Caenorhabditis elegans: one gene and its partner. The protein of the gene in region 1 interacts with the protein of each later gene in a pairwise test. Each region holds a gene or a part of one and is shown on either strand. Other genes may lie near its edges.

Region 1 (4,957 bases):
GGCTGATCTGGGGCTGGCTTTTGATTTGGATGTTCGAGCTCCTGAATTTTCAAAGTTGGCTTCAGAAAACTCTATTTTGAACTCACATTGTTGAGTGGATTGATAGAAGCCTTGTCAGCACCAACCGGGCAAGCGCCACCAGCTCCACAATTCTCTCCAGATGCAGCAGCTCTCTGTTCAGGTGTTAATGGGCATTGAGATCCTCCTCCAGCAGCAGCCATGCTGTGTTGAGCCTTACGAATTCTCTCAGCATCGGCGTTGGCATCTTGCACCTGAAAATAAATTCATACGTGTTTTCTTTTAACTGAAATTATAGAAAACTCACCTTTGGCGTCGATTGTGAAGAGCCCATGATGTAATTTTATCTGAAAACTAAACTATAGTTGGGGAAATGACGGTTAAATAGGCAGGTGGCGCACGGAAATGATGAAACTAGAGAAAAAAGGCCTTAAAAATAAACTACGCGTCATACGGGCCGCGTAACTACGGAGTGTCGTTGCAAACTTACGTTTCAAAAAATTTTCAGCACAAAATCGAGTTCAAAAAGAGAAAAGTTATGGAATAAACCATAAGTTTTGCAAGAATTAAAAGATGAGAAGGTAAGGGTGTATAATTTATCAGTCAATGTGAAGAAAAAAATAGACAGCATGACTAGACAATGGAGAGTGAGAAAAAGTTATTTATGCATCATATCGAGCAACTCGATTATAAATAGTACAGATCGTAGATAAAAACCAACTGAAGCTTCACAATTTTCCACATTTAGGCGACGCTAAATCCAATCAGCATCCCAGCTGCGAATCCGCCAAGAATCCACCGGTATTCGGAGACAAATGAATCGGAAATGTTGATAACTTTCTTGCCGGATACTCTGAAAAATTGAATAATATACGATTTTCGTTTTATTCTATTTTTTTTTCGTAAAATTCAAGCTTACTTGTTCATGACGGACTTGTGTAGATTTTTCATGTCTCGTTCGATTTTTGATTCGTTCAGCGTGATGTATCCTTTGTGAATAGCGAATTGAGCCAACAGGAAAGAGATTCCCACTGTGGCAGCAACAAGACGTCCTCCCTGAAAATATTTAAAAATTAAATATTTCTCTAGAACCACCAATTTTAAATACCTTGGTGACAAAATATCCAGTCACTGTCCCGAATCCAGCACCAACACCCAGCTGGACCATCGGCTGCTGCTTTTTCAGATCAACAACGTAGTAGAGGACTGTATCGATGGCATCACTCACACCTTTTCCGGCTTTTCCACTGCCTCCGTCGTTTTTTGAAAGATCAACCATGGCTGGAACAATCACAGTACTACATTACTCGAAGACGAAGAGAACCCGAATGTTAAGTATTGAAAAGTACTAGTGAACTATTGACACGGTGTTAGTCACATCTGACATCGAGAAAATTCAATATATTCACAGTCGATTAATTTATGAATTCAAATAAATACACACAGAAAGAAGACTGAACGATCTTGAAATTGTAGAATACACGTAGCAGTGTAATTATAAAAATAGAGGATTCCGGGATTGGGATGGGGGAGCATGGAGAAAATAAATTAAAGAAATGAGATGATTTAATTTTGAGTGAGAATCTCGCGTGCCTCTTTGCTGACGATTCCTTCCATGGAGTTGACATCGTTCCTCCATGCGGAAATGCGAGTCGCCATTTGCATTATCTGAAAAAAAGAAAATAAGTATTTTAAAAACTTATAATCAATTCTTATACCTGAGGATTATCTAAAACTCTTGGCTGCACCCATGTCACGTAGACAACTTGCTCAACTTGATTGATATCTCCACGAATGAGATCCTTGCTCAACGCCTTCATCACCAAGAACTCAACTTCGTCGAATGGGATCTGGCACTTCGTGGCGATTTCTTTGAATGAAACGCTTCTGGCTTTGGTTGGACGAGAGACTGCAAGTTCCATGACAGCCATCAGACGGATTTTGGCAGTCAGGAAATCCTTTTGCTTCTTCAAATCGTCCCAGCCTCCCCAATCTCCTTCGAGCGAGAAGAAGCGCGTCAAATCTCCCGAATTGAAGGCAAGAAGCACGTCCACGATCCAGCGTTCACGAGTTCCTTCGAGCGATTTGAGGATGGGGTGAGCAAGCTGAAAAAACCGTTTATTGGGGGAATTTAAATTGAGAGTTTCAACAAACCAATTCTCCGAAGTTGTGCACGTTTTCTCCCAGAAGAGCAGCGAAACCGAGAAGAACCGCATGGACTTGCTTCTGTTCTGTTGTCAGATTATTGGCGTCCTCAACTCCAAGATAACGAAGAGCTTCGCGATAATATCCAGCGAAGTCTCCAACTTCACGAAGATATAAAGATGAGACGCGGTAGAACGGGGCATGAACTTCTGTAACTCCGACAAGTGAGTCCACTTCGTGTTGTGTCGAATCGATTTGAGTTCGAATGCTCTTCAGATCAATAATCTGTCCATTTTTGTCCTTGTTCTCCAGTCTGGCTTCAATCTCTCCGGTATGAAGTCGAGCAACGGCAATCTTGTCCTTGTTGATGACGTTTCCAATTTTTGACAGGAATTCCATAGATTTTTGCTTGTCCTTTGTCGCGATATTTTGGGCGATCGAAATGCAAATCTCGACGAGCTGAAGAGGGTTGACACGCAGCTCCCACTCCGCCACGAACAGTCTGTAGAATTCGTGCATGTCCGTTGAAGCCACAAATTGTGGCTTCTTCACAAGGGATCGTGTCAGAACCGTTAGTTGATGCCAGAGCCTGAAAATTAGTGAAATAGTTTGTGTCTACAAAAACAATTGATTCTTACTTTTTCTCCCAGAGCTCCTTGAGATTCTTCCAGTCATCGGCCAGAGGTCCATTGGCAGCCGCCAGCTTTCCGTTGAGGTAGTCTTGAGCAGTCATCCTGAGAAATTCTCGATACATTAAAAATTGAGACGAGAAATGAGTGAAGAAGAAAGAAAATGAAGGAGTAGGAGCAATCAAAACAAAAATGGATTTCGAATAGCTAAAATGAACATTTTTGGCGAGCGCGCTCTCACAAAAATCAAAACAAAAAACTTTTTTTGAATTTTATTTGTCAGCAATTAAAGGCGCATGGCCTTTCACTTTGGAAATATCGAGACGCGAAAGACAATGTTTTCGGTCACGGCCATATGTCTGCGTCTACAGTCTCTTCAACATATGCGATAGGGCGCGCTTGCAACAATTTATTTTTCTTAATTTATTTTATTGTTTTTTAACAGAAGATATTGTTTTTAAAGTGCGAACACCCTTCTCGATTTATCCGCCAGCTGGCAACACAGCTTTTCAGGTTTTCCTTCCAGATTTGTGTGTTTTCTTCTTGGTTTATAGCGAAATCTGATAAAAATCGCAACTCTGAATAAAAATTATGTCAAACAAAGGCGTTGCTGTAAAATTGTGTCCATCCAATAGATTTTCCTCGCTTATTCTCGTATTATCTTTTTTCTTGATTTGCAAAAAAATGATCCAAGTATTTCGAAATTTCTGAAAATTCCGTGTTGTTACACGTCACATATCCTATCATTCGTTTTCTTCATTATCATCTTTTCTCCCTTTCACTGCAACGCTTCAAAATTAATCTCTGGTGCTTCGTTCTTATCTTCCGGTACTATTTCAATGTTCATACTACTTTCTATTGATTACTCGTTCAAAATTCCTAATTGTTAGTTTCTTTTTTCAGATGATCTCTCGATTTACAACGAGTTTCCTTTTATGGATGCTTCTGGTGTTCACAGTGGTATTCTTCGAAACTTCTGGTAAGTTTTTCTTTTGATTATTTGTTTCAATAATACAAATGAATTTCAGCGGCCTCTGACAAAGTTCTTCTTCGCGATGTATCAGCAATTACTCTACACAAAGGAAAAATGACGACAGGACGACGAGTTTCTCCAACCTTCCAGTTGAAGTGTGTCGGTGGATCCGCGAAAGGTGCCTTCACCCCAAAGGTGGTTCAGTGTGCAAATCAAGGTTTTGATGGTTCGGATGTGCAGTGGAGATGTGATGCAGATTTGCCACATGATATGGAATTCGGATCCGTTAGTTTTTTAAATATTTCCATCTCGCTTCAAAAAATGTTTCTTGTTTCAGATCAGTGTTTCATGTGAAGGATACGATTACGCAGAGGATCCATACATCCTGAGAGGATCTTGCGGGTTGGAGTATGAGCTCGAGTACAATTCTGCGAGCGGTAACAGATCAGTTTCTCGAAAGTCATCCCAGGATCGATGGGATCAGTTCGCCACGTTCGTCGTCGTCGCCTTCATCGCCTACATTATCTACGCGATGTGGACTAACAGAAATCAGAACCCAGAAAGCTCTGGCTACACTTCTGGTGGATCAGGAGGTCCTGGAGGCCCAGGATCCGGCGGAGGAGGTGGTGGTCCAGGTGGTTATCCAAGTGCTCCTCCACCATATGACGACTACTCCAAGCCACCGCCATATGGGTTCCGTGGTGACTCGCAATCTGGAGGTGGATGGTAAGGAATTTTAAATAAAAATGACCTTATTTTCATTAAAATTAAGTTTTTCAGTCAGGGAAGTTCTAGCGGAGGAGCAAGTGGCAGTGGCGCCAACAATGGTGGATCGTTTTGGACTGGAGCAAGTCTAGGAGCCATTGGAGGATACCTGGCATCCAGCTTCCTCAACAATAACAATGCCTACGCCCGTCCACGATACAACAGAGGATTCTTCCAAGACACAGGCTTCTCAAGTTCCGATTCCTGGTCATCACCTTCTACTTCATCAATGCGCTCAAGTTCTGGTTACGGTGGCACCACGAGACGATAGTTTCCTTATTGAGATCCAAGAAGTACGGGTGCAAACAAAACTAGTTTTGCTTTTTCTTTGTCTTGTCCATCTTTTCGATAAAATCGAATGTACATTAGCTAGTTTAAAAATCGTCGTTCCGTTTATTATCTGGCATTGCACTAACGAATAAAGTTA
Region 2 (4,751 bases), 7.2 Mb from region 1:
CGATATGCCGGAAAAACGGCACTTTGCCGGAACTGAATTTTCTGGCAAATCGGCAAATTGCCGAAATTGAAATTTCCGGCAAATCGAAAAACCTGCAAATTGCTGATTTGCCGGAAAAACGGCACTTTGCCGAAATTTAAATTTCCGGCAAATTGGCAAACCTGCAAATAGCCGATTTGTCGTAAAAACGGCACTTTGCCGGAACTGAAATTTCCGGCAAATCGGCAAACCTGCAAATTGCCGTTTTGCCGGAAAAACGGCACTTTGCCGAAATGTAAATTTCCGGCAAATCGGCAATCCTGCAAATTGCCGGAAAAACGGCACTTTGCCGAAATTTAAATTTCCGGCAAATCGGCAAACCTGCAAATTGCCGGAAAAACGGGACTTTGCCGGAATTGAAATTTCTGGCAAATCGGCAAACCTGCAAATTGCCGGAAAAAAGGCACTTTGCCGGAATTTAAATTTCCGGCAAATCGGCAAACCTGCGAATTGCCTGAATTGAAATCTCCGGCAAATTGGCAAATTGCCGAGTTGCCGGAATTAAAATTGCCGGTGAATTGCCGCGTGGAAAAAGTAGCTGAAAAATGTTTAAAATGGCAGGACCTGATAATATCGCATGTGAATTTTTTTATTCAGAGATCGTGTGTCAAAAAAAACTAACATCAACCTAACCAACACGAGATCGGCTACTAATCAGTAAGTGATAACTTTTGAAACTTATTTTAATTGAAAAAAAAAACCATTTTCAAGTTTTCATATTCTAATGCTTATAGAAGAGACAAGTATCAAGAATCGAGGAAGCGATCTGCTAATTATGTATCAATTCAAAGCTCACCGGATCTCCCCATCAAGAAAAATCTACTAACGTCAATCGCGCAACAAGAAATAAGAAGCCATCGAAGACATTGGGACAGTACATGGACGGCGAAGAGTTACGAGAGGATTTAAAAGAAAAAGGGAAAACTATGGATAACGATCTGAAAAAAAGTTTGAAGGAAGCACCTAGTGAGAGTTACTGTTACGTTCTAATAAACCCATACGTTCTGGACAAAGACGTGAGGGAAGTAGATCTGGCTACGTTCCTCTCGTCAATATTCTACGTGGGCAAAGGAAAAGGGGAAAGAGCAATGGCCTACTTCAAGGATGCTTGCGGGAACATTCAAGGAAGCCGCAAGCTTACTACAATTGACCAGGCTTGGAACAAAAAAGGATTTGTTTATAAACACATAATTTGTACGTTTAGATAAGAAAAATCTATAAATTGAATTGCTTTTTAGGGAGACCAATTATCGAAAATCTAGCACTCGCCAGGGAAGCTGCTATGATATTTTTTTTCAAAAATTTGGCTGGAAAATCGAACTTTACTAACAAATACGTAAGTTAAATTAATTGGCTAAAAAAGATTCTAATATAGTAAAATTTTCAGAACGGCAGTTTCAAAGGAGAGTCGGCGTTTTGGAGCAGGGAAGAGAAATGCAACTACGGCGTATACCTGCTAGAAACGTAAGTTTGAAAACAAAATATCAATAATTTAACGTCTAAATTTTAGAATACACCGTTCAATCCAAACCAATGGCTGTGAGACTGTCAAAAAAGAAGATGTTGCTCCAAGAGCCGCGATCCAACAAAGTCCTCGACTCTAAACTTTTAATTTAATTGTTATTTTTAAATTCCCTCATTCACATTACCCAACTTCACTATGCTACTGACTATTTAAAATTGCTCAAAATTCAAATATTCCACTTGAATAAACCTTATTATGAGAAATTAATATTTGACCTTTTTTATTTGAAAATAAACTGTTCCCGCCGTTTTCTTTATTTTTTTGCATTGTCGTCATATCGCGCGCAAAGTCCGCAGTGACACCCGCGTGGTGTTTGCGTACCCCGCAATTGTCATCCTCACAATTTTCGAACGCGACTCCCGATTTCTTCGTTTTTTGCTGTAAATTTCGGATATTTCCGGTCAAAAATTTATTAAAATATCTGGATAATGGTAATTATCAATGTCGTATTGTGTTTTTATCGATTTTCTCAGTTGTTTCCACGAAATTTCTGTTAATTTTCACCGAAATCTGTTTCAGAGAGGAATGGAGCGATTCCTGCGACTCGGAGGTCTTGGTGGAAACCTTGGAACGGTAATTGCATTCTGTTTCGATAGAAAATCATCTAAAATTTCGAATATTTCCAGTTCGGAGCCAATCCACAGGACTCGAATCAAGTCGACACCTCGGAAACCGTCTACATTTCTTCGCTGGCGTTGCTGAAGATGCTCAAACACGGAAGAGCCGGAGTTCCCATGGAAGTGATGGGGCTGATGCTTGGAGAATTCGTCGACGACTACACCGTCAATGTGATCGACGTTTTCGCTATGCCACAGTCTGGAACCGTGAGTTTTCGTCAAAAATTGAATTTTTAAAAAAGATAATTTATTATTTTCATTACAGGGAGTCTCAGTCGAAGCGGTCGATCCAGTATTCCAGGCGAAGATGCTCGACATGCTCAAACAGACCGGAAGACCCGAGATGGTCGTCGGATGGTACCATTCCCATCCAGGATTCGGATGTTGGCTCTCCGGCGTCGACATCAACACTCAGCAGTCGTTTGAAGCGCTTTCCGACAGAGCTGTCGCCGTTGTCGTCGACCCGATTCAATCTGTGAAGGGAAAGGTTGTGATCGACGCGTTCCGTACGATCAACCCACAATCGATGGCTTTAAATCAAGAACCACGTCAAACTACCAGTAATTTGGGTCATTTGCAGAAGCCGAGCATTCAGGTTGGGGAAATTATCGGTTTTTAGTGAACATTTCAATAATTTTCGGTTTTTTTTTCAGGCCCTAATCCACGGACTCAATCGTCACTACTACTCCATCCCAATCGCCTACAGAACCCACGACCTTGAACAGAAGATGCTCTTGAATCTTAACAAGCTCTCATGGATGGACGCAGTCAGCGTCGAAAACTACTCAAAATGCGGTGAACAGAACAAGGAGCACCTCAAGGCGATGCTCAAGCTCGCCAAGAACTACAAGAAGGCGTTGGAGGACGAGAAGAACATGACGGATCAGGAGCTCGCGATCAAGAACGTCGGAAAGATGGATCCGAAGCGGCATATTGCTGATGAAGTGAGCAAGATGCTCAACGACAATATTGTGCAAAGTTTGGCCGGTATGATGGCGACGACTTCATTGCAATAATTTTTAAATCAATACTCATTTGCTTATTTTTTTATTATTTTCTCAAAAATTCCCAATTTCCTCGTTCTCTCCCCGTCTTTTTGTGTATTTTTCCCCATAATTTATTTTGAAATCATCCCAGTTCGGTGTTGGAAAACATGAATCTTCCCCGCCTTTAATCGATTTATTGTTTATGCGTTAATTTAGTCCATTTCGCTAACAACTGAGGCAGCAGCATCACATTCAGATTGTTCATATCGACCGATGGTGTGTAGTCGTTGATGAGGAGATATGGAACTTCGAGGATCGGATTCGGTCGGGTGCTCATCGTCTTTTGAGCAGCTTCGCGCTGGAGTTGAACGCCACGTGGACCATCGTAGCATTGTCTGAAATTGTGAAAGATACGGTCTCGACACGACAATCTTTTTTTTTAATTCAAAAAAGTTTCGCCTTTAAAGATTACTGTAGTTTCACTTTTAGGAATTTTCTATAAATTTTTCATTTGATTTTCACCAAAACATAATAAAAAAATATTAAAAATCGATAGAAATTCCAAAAAGTGAAATTACAGTAGTCTTTAAAAGCGCACAGCTTTCCGCGTTTAACACAATTTTGTCGTGTCGAGACCGGGTACCCCGTTTTTTAGCTCAAGATCGGGAAAACTTTGAACATTTTATTCGAAAATTTGCAGAAAACTAGTTTAATTATTATTATCATTATTAGTTTTAGGAAATTATTATTAGAAAACTAGTTTAAAAAACAGTAAACGCGCTCCACGGCCAATCGAAAGCGCTCCGCCTCCGAACCATGGGTCTCGTTAGGAATTCAGCGGCAATACCGAAAAAAATGGAGCGCGTTTACATTTTTTAAATTCATTTTTCAAATGAATTTCCGAGTTTATTTACCAAAATACTGGAAGATAATTAGTTTTTTTCGAAAAAATGCAGAAAAATCGTATTTAAAAGGATAATAAAAGCGTGTGGCAAAATTGCAAAAAGAAAATCGGCAAAGTGCCGGTTTGCCGATTTGCCGGAAATTTTCGATTCCGGAAATTTGCCGGAAATTTTCAATTCCGGTAAGTTGGCGGTTTGCCGATTTGCCGGAAATTTTCAATTCCGGTAAGTTGCCAATTTGCCGGAAAATTAAATTCCGGCAATTTGCCGGTTTGCAGATTTGCCGGAAATTTGCAATTCCGACATTTTGCCGGAAATTGCAATTCCGACAATTTGCCGGAAATTTTCAATGCCGGCAATATGCCCGTTTGCCGAATGCCGGAAGTTTTCGATTCCGGTAATTTGTCAATTTGCCGGATAATTTAAACTCCGGAATTTTGCCGATTTTCCGGCCCCCGATTTGCCGGAAATTTTCAATGCCGGCAAGTTGCCGGTTTACCGATTTGCCGTAAAAGTAGTTTTCGGAATAAATACCTAATCTGTCGATATTGGCTCCGAATGAACGCGGAGCACGTCTGCATCGCGTGTTCGACTCCATAGTGTTGAATGTTACGTTCGAAACAGACGATGAAGGGCAACGCTCCTTTGACCTGAAATCAATCACTTTTGATAAATAGAGAGA

Evidence for each region.
Region 2: the proteins of rpn-9 (region 1) and rpn-11 interact in a two-hybrid assay, tested with the Caenorhabditis elegans proteins (2 studies listed by BioGRID).

The regions. Positions count from the first base shown.
Region 1 is NC_003280.10:11,236,023-11,240,979, forward strand, and holds rpn-9 (26S proteasome non-ATPase regulatory subunit 13), read right to left. Parts: upstream 2,898-4,957; 5' UTR 2,897-2,897; coding exon 2,802-2,896; intron 2,753-2,801; coding exon 2,173-2,752; intron 2,124-2,172; coding exon 1,737-2,123; intron 1,687-1,736; coding exon 1,585-1,686; 3' UTR 1,425-1,584; downstream 1-1,424. Other genes in the region: cchl-1 (putative holocytochrome-c-type synthase), read right to left, coding at 1-41, 87-272, 326-352; FUN14 domain-containing protein fndc-1, read right to left, coding at 763-871, 938-1,074, 1,127-1,297; T06D8.9 (Store-operated calcium entry-associated regulatory factor), read left to right, coding at 3,696-3,771, 3,821-4,050, 4,103-4,491, 4,546-4,801.
Region 2 is NC_003280.10:4,041,663-4,046,413, reverse strand, and holds rpn-11 (26S proteasome non-ATPase regulatory subunit 14), read left to right. Parts: upstream 1-2,083; 5' UTR 2,084-2,089; coding exon 2,090-2,137; intron 2,138-2,190; coding exon 2,191-2,388; intron 2,389-2,446; coding exon 2,447-2,776; intron 2,777-2,834; coding exon 2,835-3,197; 3' UTR 3,198-3,352; downstream 3,353-4,751. Other genes in the region: K07D4.2 (GIY-YIG domain-containing protein), read left to right, coding at 918-1,233, 1,278-1,375, 1,427-1,503, 1,550-1,643; pqn-48 (Prion-like-(Q/N-rich)-domain-bearing protein), read right to left, coding at 3,361-3,562, 4,604-4,719. UniProt on the Caenorhabditis elegans protein: Metalloprotease component of the 26S proteasome that specifically cleaves 'Lys-63'-linked polyubiquitin chains. The 26S proteasome is involved in the ATP-dependent degradation of ubiquitinated proteins.